Linked DNA regions of Cricetulus griseus. The protein of the gene in region 1 purifies or fractionates together with the protein of each later gene. This does not show direct contact. Links are inferred from orthologs where the notes say so. Each region holds a gene or a part of one and is shown on either strand. Other genes may lie near its edges. The genes, in order: Aurkb, Ppp6c and Sec16a.

Region 1 (6,168 bases):
CAGGGCTACTCAGAGAAACGCTGTCTCAAAAAAAACCAAACAGTTAAAAAACTGGGAAGCGGTTCTGAGGGATGTGGCTCAGTGAAAGAGCATTTTCCTAACATAGGCAATGCCCTGGGTTCCATCCTCAACACTAAAACCAAACCAAATCAAATAAAATGTGACCTTGGTAACCAGGCATGTCAGCGTATGCCTGTGATACCAGATACTCATTTGCACCTGGGCCTTTAAAAACAGCCCGGGGAACTCGGTGAGGCCGTATCTCCTTAGAATGAACAGGGTCGGCAGGGGTAAACTTGACATGGTGATGCTTGCCTGTAACTCAGCTATGTTTGGAGGGTGATCAGAAATTTAAGGTTATCTTTGGCTATATAGTGAGTTTGAAGTCATTCTGTGCTACATAGGACCCTGTTTCAATCAATCAATCAATCAATCAATCAATCAATCAATCAATCATGTGGGAGTTTCCACAATGATATGGTAAGAGAGGGCCCACTATATTTCATAGAAAGAGTAGAAAATTTAGAGCATGAATTATTGTGTTACCTATTTTTGTAAAGACTTTGCTACATCTATATTGCATGGAGACAAACCCCATCTCAAGGAACAACTTGCAGAAGAGCTGTATATCACAGCCTCACACGAGGGACAGCCCCCGAGCCCCACCATACCTCAGGGAGGGAGCATGCACAGACCAGCCAAAGTCCGCAATCTTCAGTTCGCCCTGGAGACCTAACAGCAGGTTCTCAGGTTTTATGTCCCTGTGAATCACCTTCTTCTTGTGGCAGTACATCAGTGCATCCGACAGCTCCTCCATGATCTACGAGAGTTCATAGCAGAAGGTCAAACAGGCCTCCACTTCCAGCAATAGCCACAGCCTCATGCCCCACACCGGATCCTGACCGTGGCTGTCCGCTGCTCATCGAAAGTTCTGTTCTTCTGTAGTTCCTTGTAGAGTTCCCCCCTCGGGGCATATTCCAGTATCAAGTAGATCCTACGCCGGTCATAGAAGTAGTTGTAGAGCCGAAGAATGTTGGGATGTCTGGGGCAAAGAGAAAGGAAGCTTCGGCTTGCATCTAGGAGACAGGACAGATGGCAAAGACCTAGATCAGGGTGGAAGTATAAGGAAGAGCTGGGTAGGTGGTCCAGATGGTGTAAGACAGGGCTGGGGATGCAGAAATAGGAATGTGGGGTGATGAGGTTGGCAGAGGGGCCAGGGCCAGGGGTGAGTAGCATACTGCAGGTGTGCCTGGATTTCGATCTCTCGGCGCAGCTGGTGCTCCACTCCCTCCTTCTCAATCTGAGACTTGAAGAGGATCTTGAGTGCCACGATGAAATGACTTTTTTTCTCCCGAGCCAAGTACACATTTCCAAATTTGCCTTTGCCCAGAGGACGCCCAATCTCAAAGTCGTCAATAGTGAGGGACCGCCTGATTAATAAAGTGGGGGGAAGGCAGCTAGCTCAGGGCTGGCTGGCTCAGATTCTAAGGTGTTTGATTTCTCTCTATCTGTGTTCCCTTTAATTTCCCCATTTCAGCCTCACCACAGTTTAAGTTCCCCGACTTACTCTGGGGTACTTACAAGGCATTGGAGCCCCGACTGACATTTTCAGCCAACTTCTGGCCAGGGGCAGCTAAGGAGAGAGCAGGCATGTTGAGTTCCTCTTTGACATTCTCGCCTTATACCCTCTCTTGGATTCTGGTCCCCTTGGGCCAGTCCTCTCCCCATTGTCCCAGGTACCTGTGGACTGGCCATTGGACCGGTTCATGAGGGCAAGTGCAGATGTCACAGCAGACTCCTTCTGCAGGACTCTCTGGGGCAGGGTGTTCAGGCCTGAATGAGACTGAGGAAAAAAGGGAAGCTCTGAGTGTGTTCTTGTCCCTGTGGTCTAGCTGGAATGTGCTATAAGCACCGTTTCAGCTACTTGTTAAAGAGTCCATCCATCCACTCACAGTTCAAACAATAGTGATACACCATGGTTTGACTACCTAGCCCCAGAGGTCTGCTCATTGCTCCAGAAGAAATGGGTTATTAAGAAACAACCTGAGGCTGGGCGTTGGTGGCGCATGCCTTTAATCCCAGCACTCAGGAGGCAGAGGCAGGCGGATCGCTGTGAGTTCAAGGCCAGCCTGAACTCCAGAGCGAGTGCCAGGATAGGCTCCAAAGCTACACAGAGAAACCCTGTCTCCTGGCACACATCAGTAACCCCAGCACTTAGGAGGTGGAGGCCCTTGATCAGGAGTTCAAGACAATCCTCAACAGTCAGTTCAAGGCCAGTGTGAGCTAAATAAGGCCTTGTTTTAACATCACCCTCATCCTCCCCACAAAACATCAACAAACAAACAAAGTAAAGGAATGAATGAAGAAAGCAATCGAAGACAAGGGAGAAGATGCCCTCTGACACCTAACAATTCACCTGGCCCTGGCCCACACCACCTGCTCAAGCACAGCACCGTCCAATCTGGATAGCTCTACACCACATTCATCCAGGCTCACATAAGAGCTCGAGCTCATGAAGTTGCCACACCAGAGGGATGCTGAGGGATATTCAAGGCCTCAAGCCACTTCTTCACTTTCAGACTTCGCTGAGTAATAGATCATTCCATTTGATAGTGACCACGGTGAGTGTAACAGTGGTGTCACACTCAGACTCCACTCTTCTCGGTTTTACTCGGTGCTTCATGCGGGAAGAATCTGGGACAAGGAAGCAGATGGGCTGTCCAGGATGCCCAGGTCCCACCAACGGGGACAGACTGAAGAGCTCTTCATTTTGGTGTAGGGCTCAGGGTCCCATTAGCTTGCCAAGCTCATTACAGATGTGCTGTATTACAGGTTTCTCATTTCTTCAGCCAAGAGAAGGCCCCAGGGTGCCTACAAACCTCCCCCAGTGATATCAGTATAGATTGGCCCATGCGTTCACACACACACACACACACACACACACACAATTTCAAATCTATTTGGATCCTTAGCTACAACCACTCATTAATATAAATTCTGGGGCTGAAGCGTAGCTCAATGGTACATCAAAACTGGAGGTCCTGGGTTTGCTATCCAGCCTCACAAATAAAATTTAGACCTTCCTGGACCTGTTAAACAGTAACTTTGTATTCTACAGTCTAATTTCTGTGTAGTTCATTTTCTCAGACTAAAGGGTGGGATTCACCGCCCGAAAGCACAATACTGCTGCTTGCTCAGTCCCAGTTATTATTTGCATGTGACAAGCAGACTCAGCTCTGCAGAAGCCCTCAGATTCAGGTTGACAACATCTGGATAGGATACGGCTGCAAGTGATCAGACTGGGCTCTGCATGCAAACTCTTGGGGAACACGTCGGAAGCGCTTAGAGGACAGCCATCGGCAGGGTGCTCCATCTGCCTCCGAGGACTTGCCTTCCGAGGGAGGTGGGGCGAGGAATGTGGCCGGGACCTTACCTTCTGCGAGCCGTAGGGCCACGGGTAGGTGTTCTCCTTCTGGGCCATCTCAAGGAAAAGCCGGAGGAGAGCTGGGCAGAGAGGGAAGCAGCGGTGAGAGGGAGAAGATGCAGAGATCTGCGGGGAGCGCAAGCGGGGGCGGGCGGAAGGAAACCAGCGCGCAGGCCGAGGTCGGGGCGCACCTGTGCGCCCCTCTCCGCACCCCTCCCTCTAGGCGGCCGGGCTGGCACGTGGCCCGCCCAACGGAGCCGGACGCCGTGGACCACCCGCGCCCTCCGGAGCCCACGGCGCAGCGGCTCTCCTCTCAGCTCGGCGCCCGCACGTTGGAGAAGCCGCCTGCCCTGCGGCTCCGCGACTCCGACACTTTCAAATCTCCCGCTCTGAGCCCATTGGCTGAGCCGCCACCCAAGCCCGCTTTCATTGGCTACGTTTCTTGTGACGTAACTGGTTGAGACGCAAAACAAGAAGCGGATTGAGATGCTCCTTTCTCTAGGCTGAGGCTGCTTTCCCAAGATATCACACTTTTGTATAATAATAATATTAATAATAATAATAATAATAATAATAATAATAATAATAATAATAAATAATATAAACAATAACAAAAATTTAAACTGGGCAGTGGTGGCGCACACCTTTAATCCCAGCACTCAGGAGGCAGAGGCAGGTGGATCCCTGAGTGCGGCGAGGCCAGCCTGGTCTACACAGCGAGTTCTTGAACCATCAGGGCTACACAGACAAAAACCCTGTCATGGGGAGGGAGCGGAGTAGAGGAGGATTTAGACAGGGCGTAGAACCCTGTCTCAAAAACAACACACTAAGATTAATTGTTACCTATCTCTTCTCCCCTCTCTCCCTCTCCCTCTCTGTGTATGGGCGTGTGTAAAACTTTTTTTCTGCCAGATGGAGAGACAATTATGCCCACGCCTTTGGTTAAACTGTTTTACCTGGAGAGGCAGAGACTCGTAGATGTCTGTGAGTTCGAGGCCAGCCTGGTTTCAGGACAGCCAGGACTATTACAGAGAAAGCCTGTCTCGGAAAAAAATGAACAAACAGCAAAAACTATCTATTTCGCAGGAGAATTTAAATGCTGCCCTTAATGATTGTACAATCCTCTTTAAGTATCCTTGGGGTATCATCTTTAGAACGCCCTACGTTACCTAATCCAGAGTGCTCAGGTTCCTTATATAAACAGGCATACTATTGTATAGGACATAGATTTGCATTGAGTTTGTAACTCTCTCAGGCTCTTTGGCTAATCTCTAGATCACCTAGCTACCTAATATTATGGAAATACTGTGAAACAGTAGTAAAGCTCTCTGTGAGGGAGTATGATGCAGGGAGGAAAAGTCAATACAGATGTAATCCATTAGATGAGACAGATGGATTTGAAGGTTTGACAGACAGACAGACAAGCAATTTGCTGAATCCATGGTTGTAGAATATGTATCTGTGTTTCTGGATTCCCTATTCTCCTTGTCTGATTAGTATTTGGATTTTATTTGAGACAGGTCTCTCTGTTAAGCTCAGGTTGGCCTCCAATTCACTATATAGCCCAGGCTTGCCTTGAAATTCTGATCCTCTCATCACAGCTCCCAAAGTACTTGGATTACAAGCACACAGTATCAGGCCCAGCTTGCTTATCCCTTTTCTATTTCTTCTTAAATGTCCTTTGAGTTCCTAGAAAGAGGTTTCCAGTGGTGGAACTTTCTGTGCTGGGTCCCTGATAGCTGTGGGATTTGAACACAGTTCAAATCAAAATCCACTCTTCTGTAAATGCTTTGTTCTTAAAAATCCTTTAATGTTTCTTATTCTAACATTAGGCTTGTAATTCTACCACTCTGGGGCCTGAGGCAGGAGGATTGCTAGGAGTTTTCAAATTCTATAAATTACCAATTCCCACTGAGTTAACATTTTTTTTTTCTTGAGACAGGGCCTCTCTGTATTGCTTTGGAGGTTGTCCTGGAACTCCATCTGTAGACTAGTCTGGCCTCAAACTCACAGAGATCTGCCTACATCTGCCTCCTGAGTGCTGGGATTAAAAGCATGAGCCACCAATGCCCAGGCTGAGTTAACTCTTGAGTTTCATTCCATCTCTTGAGTAATTATAAGTGTGCACTCTTCTGGTGGCCATAAGGGAGCATTTTCCTGCCAAGGGAAGGACCAGAACTATTTTGGGGGTTCCAAAGCTTGGGCATGTACAACTTCTGCAATAAAGACTAGTCTGCTGTGTGCCGTGGTGTTGGTTCATGTGACAAAGTGTCCTGGCACAAGACAGGACAAGGCCCAGGAGGGAGTGAGGTGAAGGAGGCAAGATTCTGCTTGGCATGGCATCTGTTGTGTGGATAATACTCTGTGTCCCAAATTCCTCACCAGGAACCCTGCCACACTGACAAAGGGTTGGTGGAACAAAGAAACATCAGGATGTGAAGCTGTGTCTTTCTGGGGAGAAGAAAAGGCTCGTGTGTATGTGTGTGTGTTTGCTTATGTATGTGTGTGTGTATATGTGTGCATGTGTGTGTGTGTGTGTGTGTGTGTGGTGTGGTGTGGGGGAAAGTTGAGTTGGGCAAGGAGAGTTTTCTAGCCTGGGTTTCTCTTTCTTTCTTTTGTTCTGCTTTTTTTCCCGAGACAGGGTTTCTCTGTGGCTTTAGAGCCTGACCTGGAACTAGCTCTGTAGACCAGGCTGGTCTGGAACTCACAGATAACCACCTGCCTCTGCCTCCCGAAGGCTGGTA
Region 2 (6,168 bases), on another chromosome or scaffold:
CAGAGGATCTGGTTTCGATTCCTAGCCTCACAAAGTAGCTCACAACCATCTGTAACTTCAGTCCCTAGAAAGCCTCTTATGCTCTGCATGCATGTGGTACACAGACATACATACAAGTAAAATGTCCACATACACAAAATATAAATAAAAATCACACAAAAAAGTTTTTAAGACTCATGGCTGGAGAGCACTTGTTGGTCTTGCAGAGGACCTAAGCTCAATTCTCAGCAGCCACATGGTGGCTTGTAACCACCCAGAAACTCTAATTTCAGGAGATCTGAAGACCTTCTGACTCCCTCAGATACCAGGCATGCACATGATACAGACACATACATTCAGACAAAACATTCATACACATAAAAAAAAGTCTCTTAGAATATTTCCTTGGCTTACCTGTTTTTAGTCTGTACTTTATGCCAGGGAACACAAATAAAATTGAGTTTCTTTCCTTTCTGCTTTCCTTCCTTCCTTTCTTATTTATTTTATATTTGAGATAGAATTTCACCATGCAGCTCAGATTGGGCTGGAACTCACTATGTAAACCAGGCTGACCTCAAACTCACAGAGATCCACTTGCCTCTTGCTTTCAGTGCTGGGATTAAACACATTTTCCATCAAGAGTAACTAAAACTGAATTTCATAAACACTAGTCAAGAATGTTGGCACACCTTTGTAATTCTAATACTCAGGAGACTGAGGCAGGAAGATTGCAATTGTAGCTAGCTCAAAGTTAGGATGGGCTACATAGTTGAGTTCCAGTCAAGAACTGGACTGCAGGGTAAAAACTTAATAAATAAGCAATCAAGCAAACAGAAAATATACCAGAGACTGACAGCACATGCAAATCAATCTGGTAAAACTGTTTCTAGGATAGGGGAAAAAAATTCTACCCAATAGTTACCCAAAAACTTTGGTGGGGGGGGTGGGGAGGAGTGGGGGGCCGTATGGAAGTCTATAAGAGACATGTACATGTGGGGCTGAAGAAGCGACAAAGTGGTTAACTACTTTTGTAGAAGACCTGTGTTCTATTCCCAGCACCCACGTCAGGCTGCTTACCACTACCTGTAACTGCAGCTCCAGAGAGATCTAATGCCTCTGGCCTCTGAGGGTGTCTGCACTCAGGTGCACATACCCTGACAGAGACATACATGGTAGATCTCTGAATTCAAGGCCAGCTTGGTCTATAGGGAGTTCCAGGACAGTCAGGGCTACACAGAGAAACCCTGTCTTGATAAACAAAATAAATAAATAAAATTAAAAAGCATACAACAGGAGAAATGGTTCAGCTGTTAAAAGTTTACTTTTCTCCAGATGTTGGTGGTGTATGCCTTTAATCCCAGCACTCGGGAGGCAGAGGCAGGCAGATCTCTGGGAGTTCTAGCTAACCTGGTCTAAAGAGCGAGTGCCAGGACAGGCTGCAAAGCCACAGAGAAACCCTGTCTGGAAAAACAAAACAAAAGGTTTACTTTTCTTGTAGAAGACTCAGATTTGACCCCCAGCATCTACATCAGTTAGCTCATGCCACCTATAAATCCAATTCCAGGGTTAGGATGCTCTCTGCTTCTGCCAGCACCGGTACACATAAATTCACACAGGCATACATACAAAAACATAAATAAAAATAACAAAACTTTTCAAAATTAATTTCAATCCTCATACCACAATAAAATAGAATAAACCACTATTAAAGTAGAAGCAGACCCAGGGGTTCTAGGCAAGCTTGGGCTACATAATCCTGTGTGTGCGTGTGAACTGGAGAGATGGCTCAGCACTTAGACTGTATAAGGGACCTGAGTTCAGTTTTATTCACCTACATCTGGTGGCTCACAAACTGCCTGTAACTCCAGCTCCAGGATGACCTCCAAAGGCACCATGTGCCCATACTCTTCCTCCCTCCACAAACACTAATTAAAACTAAATCTTATTTATTTATAAAAAAAGAAAGAATAAGCACAGAGCAGCCAGGCATGGTAGTTTAAGTTGCAGCTTTTGATAAGTGGGAGCAAAAGGATCAGAATTCAAGGTCATCCTCAGGTATTTAGTGGGTTGGAGGCCACGATGAACTTTTTTTTTTTTTTTTAAGATTTACTTTTATTTTGTGTATGACTTTTTGCCTGCATGTATGTCTGTGAAACAGGTATGTGCCTTGATGCCTGCAAAGGCCAGAAGAGGGCATCACATCACTTGAACAGGAGTTAACCGCCATGTCCTTGCTGGGAATAGAATTTTCAGGTCCTCTGGAAGACCAACCAGTGCTTTGAACCGCGGAGACATCTCTCCAGCCCCAGCAAGACCTATCTTAAGATGCTATCTCAGACAGAAAACAAAACTAAAAAAATTACCAAGCAGAAAGAAGAGCCAAATGACTGAAAGATGCAGGTGGCTGAACATGTGAATACCAACCACGTAACACATACAATCAATATTTAAGTACAAGTTAGGTACTTTCACACAAACAGCACACGTGATCTTAAACATTTTGCATATTGTTTGATCAACTTCATGTATCAAATGAGACAGGAAAACGCACACAGAGCAACATCTTGCCTAGGAGAAATATAATTCATCAGCAAGATTTTTTTCTTGAAAAAAGTTTTAAGCCCATGACTTAAAATGATTACAAAAACAGCCTAAAAGAATTCAAGTGATCGAGAGCGTTTATGTATTTACCACACAGTAAATCAAAGGTAATGGAATAAAACTAGCAACCATCGTATAAACACCAATGGAGACCTAAGCACTAGCTTTAGCAGAAGCAAAATACGTTTGAAAACAGTGGTTTACCAACGGCTTGCTTCCTTTACATTCATTCTTTCAACACTCTTAACTTGAGCTGGGTGAGACCTTGAGAAACGAAGAAAACGACACTTTGGGTTATGGGGGAACAGCTCAGAGGTCATAAAAGCATTTGCACTCTTGATAAGCGACCGCTTGTTCACTTAAATAGCTCAGCACCGTGCTGAGAAATGGGATCCCCATCCGAATTATCAGAAGAAAACTAGCACTGCTAATTAGGGAGCAATTTGGGGGAGTGGTGAAGCTCAGGCGACTGACAATGTCCTACTACTGTCAACCGATCCCGCCCACCGGCTTCCTAAACACACTGCGGACACCCGCGTCCTGGGGCCGTCAGCAGCTCCTGTCCCCTCTGCCGGGAGGACCCCATCGCGAGAGCCCTGCCCGCTGGCAGACCGAGCGTGTCAGAGCCCAAGAGGCTGAGCCAGGGGGGGCCGGGGGACCGCACATGCCCGGGACCCCCTCAGGGAGCCGCGCCAGCATTCGGGGAACTCGGGCTCCGCTGGTTCTCCGCGTTTCGCCGCGTCGGGCCCGGTGGCCTCGCACCGCGCAGCGCCCTCCGCCGCGCCAGGGCCGGGTGCCCGGTCGGGGTCCGGCCGGGGGAGAAGGGCGGCCGGCGGACGCCCCACGGCCGGAAGGGGCTTGCCTCGCCAGCAGGACGGGCTCCGGCCCGGCTCACCTTCAGGTCGTTCTCGGGAAGGTACTTGCACTGCCGCGCGATCTCCACATACTTGTCCAGATCGAGCGGCGCCATCTTAGGCAGAACAAGCCGCGGTGGCGGCGGGGCGGCGGCGGCGGCAGCGGCGGCGGCGGCGGCAGCGGTAGTACTGGAGGCAGCGGCGGAGGCCGAAGCCGGAACTCTCCTTACGTCACGTCCGACCCGTGAGTGGCGTCTGCGCAGCGACGTCAAAACCTGAGTTGCTTCTCTTCCGCGCCTCGACACGCCCTGCGCCCTCTCAGGCCGAACTCCGGGGGTCCTGCTGACAAAGCCTGTTGGGACCCGTAGCTGTCTGCCGCGGAGGATGCTGGGATTTGTAGTTTTCGTGAATCCGAATGCTCTTCCTTTCCTACCCTTCATGTCAGGGAAATCAGATGAGGCTTTTCTGCGGGAAGACTACCAAGTGAATAAGTAGGTTTTCCCTAGCACTCAGCATTTTCAGTTAAAGTTAGGGTAACTTGCCGACTTTCCAGGGCTAGTGAAGACCCCGGCCTAGATGTGTAGAACAGATTTAACACACCCAATTCTCTGGCTTGGAAGAAAACAAACAAATATTAAAGCATTTCTTAGGCTAAATTCTGTACAAATACTGGCGCGCTGTTTTTCCTTTTCTTGTAAGACCGAAGGGCGTGCAAAATTTGCACGTGTTACTTCCCCCAAATATCAAAGGAAACAAAAAAGGTGGAGCCTAGACTAAAAAAACAGACTACTGACTTGATTAAATGTGTGAGTCCCAGGGGGCGGCAAGAAGGGTTTAGTTTTTGTTGCTTTTACTTTGTTTGATTTTTGTCGTATCCTCGTGTTAAGAACAGTTCTTGACATCTAATATAGCTTTAACATTGGTTCATTTGACGACTGTATATTGAGCAGTAATTAAGTACAGATAGCTTGTAGGAGCTTAGTGACCACAGTAGACGAAAATCTCTATCCTTGAGGCTGGAAAGATTGCTCAGTGACTAAGAGCACTAGCTGCTCTTCCGGACCAGGATCCAAGTTTTATTACCAGCACCCACAAGGCTGCTCACAAATCCTGTAAGCCCAGTTCCAGGGGATCAGACACCCTCTTCTGGTCTCTGGGGCACTGTATGGATGTAATTCACAAACCCACTTGAAGACAAAAATAAATAAAATAATAAAAATTTAAGAATATATATTCTGTTTCCAACCTGTAATTTTCTACCAATCAGGGGCTGGAGAGATAGCTCAGAGGTTAGGAGCACTGGAGGTCCTGAGTTCAATTCCCAGCAACCACATGATGGCTCACAAACATCTATAATGAGATCTGGTGCCCTCTTCTGGCCTGCAGGCAAACATGCAGACAGAACACTGTATACATAATAAATAAATCTTTAAAAAAAAAATTAGAAAAAGAATTAACCAATCAGCCATCGATAGTGGAGCACACATTTGACCCCAGCCCTGGAGAGGCAAATGGATAACTGTGAGCTCTAGGATAGCTCGGTCTAAGTTAGCAAGTTGTCAACCAGGAGACCCTGTTCAAAACAAAACAAAACAAAACAAAACAAAATAAAAAACCCACAAAACCCACCAAGGTGGTAGTCTCCGGAAGATCGCTGATGAAGCATTCCTAAGCATATCACGAGCCTTTGGGGAGAGACCCTACCATGTGGAGATCAGAGGAAAAAAGGAAACACCCATTTATTTTTCATTTGATGCAATGGGCAACTATTGTAGGATTTTAAGTAGAGATGCAAAATGGTCAAACTTACTTGGATTTTCTTTTGTTTTGGTTGGTTGGTTTTGTTTGAGCCATCTCTTTAGCCCCTTGACTCCCATTTTAAAAACAGAACTCAAACATTCCTAGAATTCAGGAATGTGATTTCTATTCTAAAGGATTAGTTCCTACAGTGTAAACTATCTGATATTCCAGTTTTTCTTGTTAATATACCCCTTTAGCATGGCATCTTGAGGTAATCCTAGTCAAAAGACACATGCCCCATCAAAGCATTCTGGAGCTCTGACAGTAATTCTGTCTAAATATATGTTGGGCACATGACCAGAGCCAACCTGGCCTTGGTCCTCTTCCCAGAAGGAAAGCAGAGTGAGTGTATACCTCTAAACTCTTCTTCGGCAGTCTCTGGGAAACTTTCTACTAACTACAGGAAGTTATGAAGAGTTCAGGTGTTAAAAACACATGGCAAGGAAGTGAAGACAGCTGAAGCCCCCAAATTCTATTTTGTCCATGAATTTTGGTTAGATTTCAAGTAGCTAAACGAGTGATTGATTAGGTTAGTTTGGAGACCTGGGAGGCACAGAGCAGTTGGTCTGGACGGCTTCCATGGCCTGAGGAAGGGGGCGGGCTCCTAAGCTCCACCTATGGGTGGAGCCACATCCTGGACAAGCCAGGGCTGCAGCCAGTAATTGGTGCTGGGCTGGAGGTCTCTGGGCGGGTCACCTTGCCTAAGTGTGCCTTAGCTGGGTGGAAGGGACAGTGTCCCTGTTCTCCGGCCGGCCACATTAGCGGAAAGCAGGCAGCCATTTCTCCCTGACCCTGACTTCTTTCACTCGGAGATGTGGCCGGAGAGAGGATTTAAAGGGAGTGGCTAGGAAAGTCCCCGCTCATGCGAAGCCCCCCCGCCATACATGTATTGCTTGGGTATAGGTGTGAGGCTCCCACAGTAGATAAACCATGA
Region 3 (6,068 bases), on another chromosome or scaffold:
CCTGCAGTCCCTTGACATGTTCACGTGGTGTTTCCCAGGAGCTCTTTGCCCCTTAAACATTTGCATTGCTTTTTTTTTTTTTTTTTTTTTTTTTTTTTTTTTTTTTGGTTTTTCGAGACAGGGTTTCTCTGTGTAGCTTTGGAGCCTATTCTGGCACTTGCTCTGGAGACCAGTCTGGCCTCGAACTCACAGAGATCCACCTGCCTCTGCCTCCCAAGTGCTGGGATTAAAGGCGTGCGCCACCAACACCCGGCCGATTTGCATTACTTTTAAGCAGGAGTATTGTACACACTCTCCTAAAATGTTTGTTCATAATGTTAATATTTAAAAAGAGAGTTAGCTTTTAATGAAATTATTTCTTAAAATATCCTGAAACAAAGCCGGGCTTGGTGACGCATGCCTTTAATCTGAGCCCTGGGGAGGCAGAGGCAGGCTAATCTCTGTGAGTTCGAGACCAGCCTGGTCTACAAGAGCTAGTTCCAGGACAGCCTCCAATGCCACAGAAAAACCCTGTCTCAAAAAAACAAAAACAAAAAATAAACAAACAAAATCCTGAAACACAAGCTGGAGAGGTGGCTCAGCTGTTAGAGTGCTGACTTGCTGCTCTTCCAGAGGACCTGGGTTCAACTCCCAGCACCCACATGGCAGCTCACAACATCTGTAACTCTAGTTCTAGGGGATCTGGCACTCTCACACAGACAAACATGCAGGCAAAACACCAATACGCATAGAAATAATATATCTTAAAATATATCCTGAATCATGTTAGGAGTATAATTAATATAATTTATAGTTGAGATAACTATTAAAAAGTATTATCAAGGCTGGGGCTGTAACTGTGGTACCTAGCTACACACCCGACTGTTCTTAAAGCCTTAAGTTTGATCCCTCACATCTCAAAACAAACCAAAAAAAGTGAAAAAGAACTTAATATAGAACTCTTGTAGTAGCTTTTCTTTTTTTCATCCAAATATGTATATTGAGAGAACAGTGACTGCCACATCATGAGCAGGAGGCAGCTGGTTCTTCCGGATTGGGGCTCGCTCTCTAGGCCATGCCTGTCCTTTCCTCCTAAGCTGTCTGCCTGCTCCAGGGCAGCTGGGTGGGTCTTCTGTGTGTCACTGCTGCACTCTCTCTTCATTCCTCACTTACAGACCCAGGCCGCTGGGATCGTTACTATGGGCCTCGCTTCAGGGATCCTCGCACCTGGGACCGGAGATACTGGTATGACTCCGAGCATGACCCATACAGGAAGGAAAACTATGCTTACAGTGACAGGTTAGTGAAATGTACACGTCTGAAGGAAGTGGGAGGGAGCTGAGGTGTGCTCTTGCTTGCCTTCCTCCTATCTTTGGAAGTAATCAACGATAGTTCTGGGCTTCTGGGAAGTGATCTCTTAGTGTCTGAAAGAGGAAGTATTGGCCATCTCTCCCTATACCCCCCCCTTCTGGCCTATGGAAGAAGAACTGGCTCAAATGTGCTCCTTCCCAGTGGCTCTGGGAGGACTTTAAATCTGCCTCCTTTCTTCGGTGTCTTTTCTCCATCCTGCCCATAACCCAGGGAAGGAACCACCCTCAAGTTGCACCTGTACTGTGTTCTCTGAGATAACCTGCATCTGAACCTAGGATTTGGTTTCTTGTGCCGGGCCTGCAGGGTTAGCTATAACTAACATTCTTAAGGATGAAGATAGCCTCAGGGTAGAGGGACAAAGGGAGGGCAATGAGCAGTGAGGGCTAACTGCAGCCTTGGGAAGTTCCTGGGTAGTTATGTGGTGTCCCAGGGAGTTGCCCTTCCAATCCCCTGCCTCAGTCCCCTGTTTCCTCTAGGCCTGAGAAATGTGATGATCACTGGAGATATGACCCTCGTTTCACGGGGAGCTTCGATGATGACACTGAGCTCCACAGGGACCCCTATGGAGAAGAAGCAGACAGGCGCAGCATCCACAGTGAGCACTCGGCTCGGAGCCTGCACAGCACTCACAGCTTGCCTAGCCGCCGGAGCAGCCTCAGCTCCCACTCACATCAGGTGTGCTGGGCAGGCTTGGCAGGGGGAAGAGCAGGTGTTAAGTCTTGGCCACAACTTTGTCTTTGCCTAGTTCTAACGGTGTACCCACAGTCTTTCTGGTGTTCATGGGAACTCATTTTCTCTGCTTGATTTCTCTCCCAAGAGTCAGATTTACAGAAGCCACAATGTGACTGGTGGTTCCTTTGAAGCCCCTCATGCCCCAGGCTCATTTCATGGTGATTATGCCTATGGCACGTATGCCAGCAATTTCAGCGGTGCCCATGGTTTTCCAGAGTACGGCTACCCTGCAGACACCTCCTGGCCTGCTGTGGAGCAAGGTGCGTCTCAGCAGTTCAAATTGAAGCCACCAGGTTGGGTTAAAACAAGGGAGTCCAATCAGCTCCTCTGCACGCTGTACCCACTGTCCCGAATGTCATGGCTTGTTGGTACAGGCCAGTGCTGGCCCTTGGTCTGAGACCTGTCTGCTTGACCACATGTGCATTGTTAATGTGTAACTTTGAGTCCACTCAAGCCTTGGGTCGCTCTTCTCTATGTTCCCACACTGGCAAGTGGATAAGCAGTCTTGGAACTCCAAGTTCCCCTTGAGAGACTCTTGTTCTGATTTGTGCCAGTATCCCACCTCCTGAAAGGTGTAGCTTTAAAAAGGTATAGCTGAGAACTCTCCTGACTAAAGCACCAGTCAATGAGAAACGGTTTTTGTGTATGAGTTGCTCAGCTCTTTTGCTCTTGGATGCTCTGTGACAGTTAGCCTGAAGCTGAGCTGGGCAGGGAGCCTGAGCTGGGAATCTGGTGCAGAAGCTGTTAGACATGGCGAGCTAGCTTATTGTTTTTCTTCCTGTTTATTTAACTTCAGTTCCATCAAGACCGACCTCTCCTGAGAAATTTACGGTGCCTCATGTCTATGCCAGGTTTGGTCCTGGTGGTCAGCTCCTTAAAGTGATTCCCAACCTGCCTTCAGAGGGACAGCCTGCCCTGGTGGAGATCCACAGCTTGGAGGTAAGCATGGACCCGTGGCTCTCTCTGCACCCCTTGGAAATCCTTGGGAAGTGTGCCTTCCTGAGAAGCTTAGGCCTCTAGGGCTTTTGTTCTATTTAGAGGCTGACTCTTCTAGAACTCAGCACTTTAAGCAGGTGCTGTGGTTGTTAGATATGGGTTGATTGTATGTGCTCTTCTGCTTCCTTTCATGTTTTGACAGTGTTTTTTTTTTTTTTTTTTGTGTGTGTGTGTGTGTGTGTGTGTGTGTGTGTGTGTGTGTGTGTGTATTTTAACTAATGGAATGAGATTGGGGGCACACTTTCTCTGTAGCCTCAGAAGCCTCTCTTGTCATATCTGTCAAGACCCAAATAAGTTTTTCTGTTTAAAATTTGAAAACCTCCATTGTAGTTCATGCATGCTCATATAATTGTACCAAGCACCTTCACCCTCTGGATGGAGGGATGAGCGTGGTCCCAGAATTGGCTTTGTAACTCAGTCTGCTGGAGGTCGTACATGTGAACTGCTTTTCCCCTCTCATTGCAGACCTTGCTGCAGCATACACCCGAGCAGGAAGAGATGCGCTCCTTCCCAGGACCTCTTGGAAAGTAAGGCTCCTTGTTGCGATGTCTTTTGACAAAATGGCATAATGGCAGCTGCTAAGTTTGGCTCACAGTTTTGGTACCACCATTCACTGAGTGTTCATTCTTTCCCCAGAGATGATACCCACAAAGTAGATGTTATTAACTTCGCACAGAACAAAGCGACAAAATGTTTACAGAATGAGAGTTTAATTGACAAAGAGTCTGCAAGTCTTCTTTGGAATTTCATCATTCTGTTATGCAGACAAAATGGGGTATGTTCTCTTTTACTTTTTAATGTTCTCTCTGTTTGCCTTTAGTCTCAGAATCTGTTTCCTATTCCTGTCCTAAGCTGTGGGCAGTGTCAAGCCTTCTGTACAATGCTTCCAGTCATGCCATGCTTCCTTGGGAAGAGCATCATGGCCACAACCTGGGAAAGTAGGAAGAAAGGGAGGTGTAAGATTTGTCATGAGCTGACACCTCAGGCCTTCCCTGCCCACATGAAAAGTCAGGCTTCTTTCCTGAGGTCTAACATGTGCTACCTATGCAGACCTGGCCAGGTTCTGACAGCATGGGAATTTGTCATCTGGCTAGAAACCCTGTTTCTAATAAAATCTTACGCTGCTTCCCATCTGACCCTGTAGACCGTGGTGGGAACAGACATTGCAGAGCTTTTGTTACGAGACCACAGAACTGTGTGGCTTCCTGGGAAGTCACCCAATGAAGCAAACTTGATAGATTTTACTAATGAAGCCGTGGAACAAGTGGAAGAGGAGGAGTCAGGGGAGGCCCAGCTCTCATTTCTCACAGACAGTCAGACGGCAACCACCAGCGTGCTGGAGAAGGAGATTGAGCGGTTCCGTGAGCTCTTACTATATGGCCGGAAGAAGGTAGGCAGCCCTGCAGATGTTTCTTCTAGTGTCTGTCTGTTGGCCCAGGGAAAAGACCAACCTCCTCTAGGAGGCAACTGCAGCAAGTGCTGTTTAGGGATGATATCTGGCCCTTTGCCTGATATCTCTGAAGGTATTAGTAGTGTTTTCTCTGAGAAGGGCCCATGTGGAAATCTGGCCAGTTCAGTTTACAGTCATTTAGAGAGGATGTGTGCTCATCTGTGTGCAGAGTCCTGGGATGAAGTCTTCTTAAAGACTGAAGTTTCAGGCCAATCCTGTGTATTTTTGTTAATTCAGGTTTTATATAACTCAGGCTGACAGTGTGCACAAGAGTGTTGAAAGTAGCTGGGCAGTGGTGTCACACGCCTTTAATCCCAGCACTTGGGAGGCAGAGGTGGGGAGAATCTATGAGTTCAAGGGCAGCCTGGTCTACAGAGCAAGTTTCAGGACAGCCAGGGCTACACATGGAGAAACCCTGTCTTGAAAAACAACAACAAAAAGAGTGCTAAAAGTGTGCACATTGGGTCAGAGGATGTGCTGAGCATGGGAGGCACTTCATAGTGGCTCATAGAGTTCTCTGTGTCAAGCACGTCTATCTAATAGGTCTAGTTCTCTGTCCTTCACATTATGATCAACTTAGGAAGTTCATGTTTTTAGTCTGGTGTGGATCTAAGAATTGAACCGAATCATGGGCGTGATAAGCATACACTTTCAAATAGACTCCACCTTAGAAAGTTTGTGGCCCAAAGCATCATCATATCCCCGAAGTTCTTGATTTCAAGTGTGTGCCACCACACCTGACTAGAAAGCTTAGTCTGTGAAACAGTCTTGCCATGTTACCCAGGCAGGCCTTGAATTTCTGGGCTCAAATGGTGGTCTTCTCTCTGTTTCCTGAATAGTTGAGACTACAAGTGTGTGCCCTCATGCTCAGAATAAAATTCATGTGTGGTCCTTAAGATTTTAATATGGATGTTTCACATATGGTTGGAATCATAGATCCTATTGGCTTTTGTGAATATTTTACTTCTATTGGTAAAATTTTACCTACTGGCCAAAAGTGCTCAATTTTACCACAGATTATTTGGGGTAAAGGGAGAGACTAAGTTGAGGATGCTGTTTGTTTGGAGAGTGTATTCGGGGTAGCCATATGTCACCTGGATGGGGAACCCACGCTGATACTGCATTCTTCACGTTGTTTCTAGCTGGTGTGCTGGTTCCTCACATAGAAGGGAGACTAAAATTACTAGGTACTCACTAGAGAGAAAGGGCAGAAGGACAAGGCTGTACTGTCATCTATAAACCATGAACATATTTGTCTTTTGAGGTCAAAACCATATTCATCGTTTTTGTGTGTGTATGCATGAAAACATGTGGTTCTGCCTGGTCTAACAGTAAGCAGCACTCTGATCATTCTCATGAGCCCTGAAATGCATTGCAGGATGCTCTGGAGTCTGCCATGAAAAATGGCTTATGGGGTCATGCTCTGCTGCTTGCAAGTAAGATGGACAGCCGGACACATGCTCGTGTCATGACCAGGTGAGTTAGTACCCATCCAGTTGTGTAACCCGACTTTGGTACTCAAATATCATTCCTCTGCTTG

Evidence for each region.
Region 2: the proteins of Aurkb (region 1) and Ppp6c purify together in Homo sapiens (affinity purification with mass spectrometry, with the first as the bait; 3 studies listed by BioGRID). This does not show direct contact. The link is inferred for Cricetulus griseus from reciprocal best matches to the Homo sapiens genes AURKB and PPP6C.
Region 3: the proteins of Aurkb (region 1) and Sec16a purify together in Homo sapiens (affinity purification with mass spectrometry; 3 studies listed by BioGRID and IntAct, with this or other methods). This does not show direct contact. The link is inferred for Cricetulus griseus from reciprocal best matches to the Homo sapiens genes AURKB and SEC16A.

Annotation. Positions count from the first base shown.
Region 1 is NC_048600.1:82,919,811-82,925,978, reverse strand, and holds the start of Aurkb (aurora kinase B), read right to left. Parts: upstream 3,795-6,168; 5' UTR 3,482-3,794; coding exon 3,434-3,481; intron 2,695-3,433; exon of another isoform or gene 2,417-2,694; intron 1,844-2,416; coding exon 1,741-1,843; intron 1,634-1,740; coding exon 1,582-1,633; intron 1,431-1,581; coding exon 1,239-1,430; intron 1,077-1,238; coding exon of another isoform or gene 1,043-1,076; coding exon 904-1,042; coding exon of another isoform or gene 891-903; intron 821-890; coding exon 672-820; intron 1-671. UniProt on the Homo sapiens protein: Serine/threonine-protein kinase component of the chromosomal passenger complex (CPC), a complex that acts as a key regulator of mitosis.
Region 2 is NC_048599.1:150,485,162-150,491,329, forward strand, and holds the start of Ppp6c (serine/threonine-protein phosphatase 6 catalytic subunit), read right to left. Parts: upstream 3,670-6,168; 5' UTR 3,551-3,669; coding exon 3,476-3,550; intron 1-3,475.
Region 3 is NC_048599.1:137,817,588-137,823,655, reverse strand, and holds part of Sec16a (protein transport protein Sec16A), read left to right. Parts: intron 1-1,154; coding exon 1,155-1,278; intron 1,279-1,826; coding exon 1,827-2,025; intron 2,026-2,167; coding exon 2,168-2,342; intron 2,343-2,878; coding exon 2,879-3,021; intron 3,022-3,543; coding exon 3,544-3,605; intron 3,606-3,714; coding exon 3,715-3,853; intron 3,854-4,222; coding exon 4,223-4,468; intron 4,469-5,906; coding exon 5,907-6,004; intron 6,005-6,068. UniProt on the Homo sapiens protein: Acts as a molecular scaffold that plays a key role in the organization of the endoplasmic reticulum exit sites (ERES), also known as transitional endoplasmic reticulum (tER).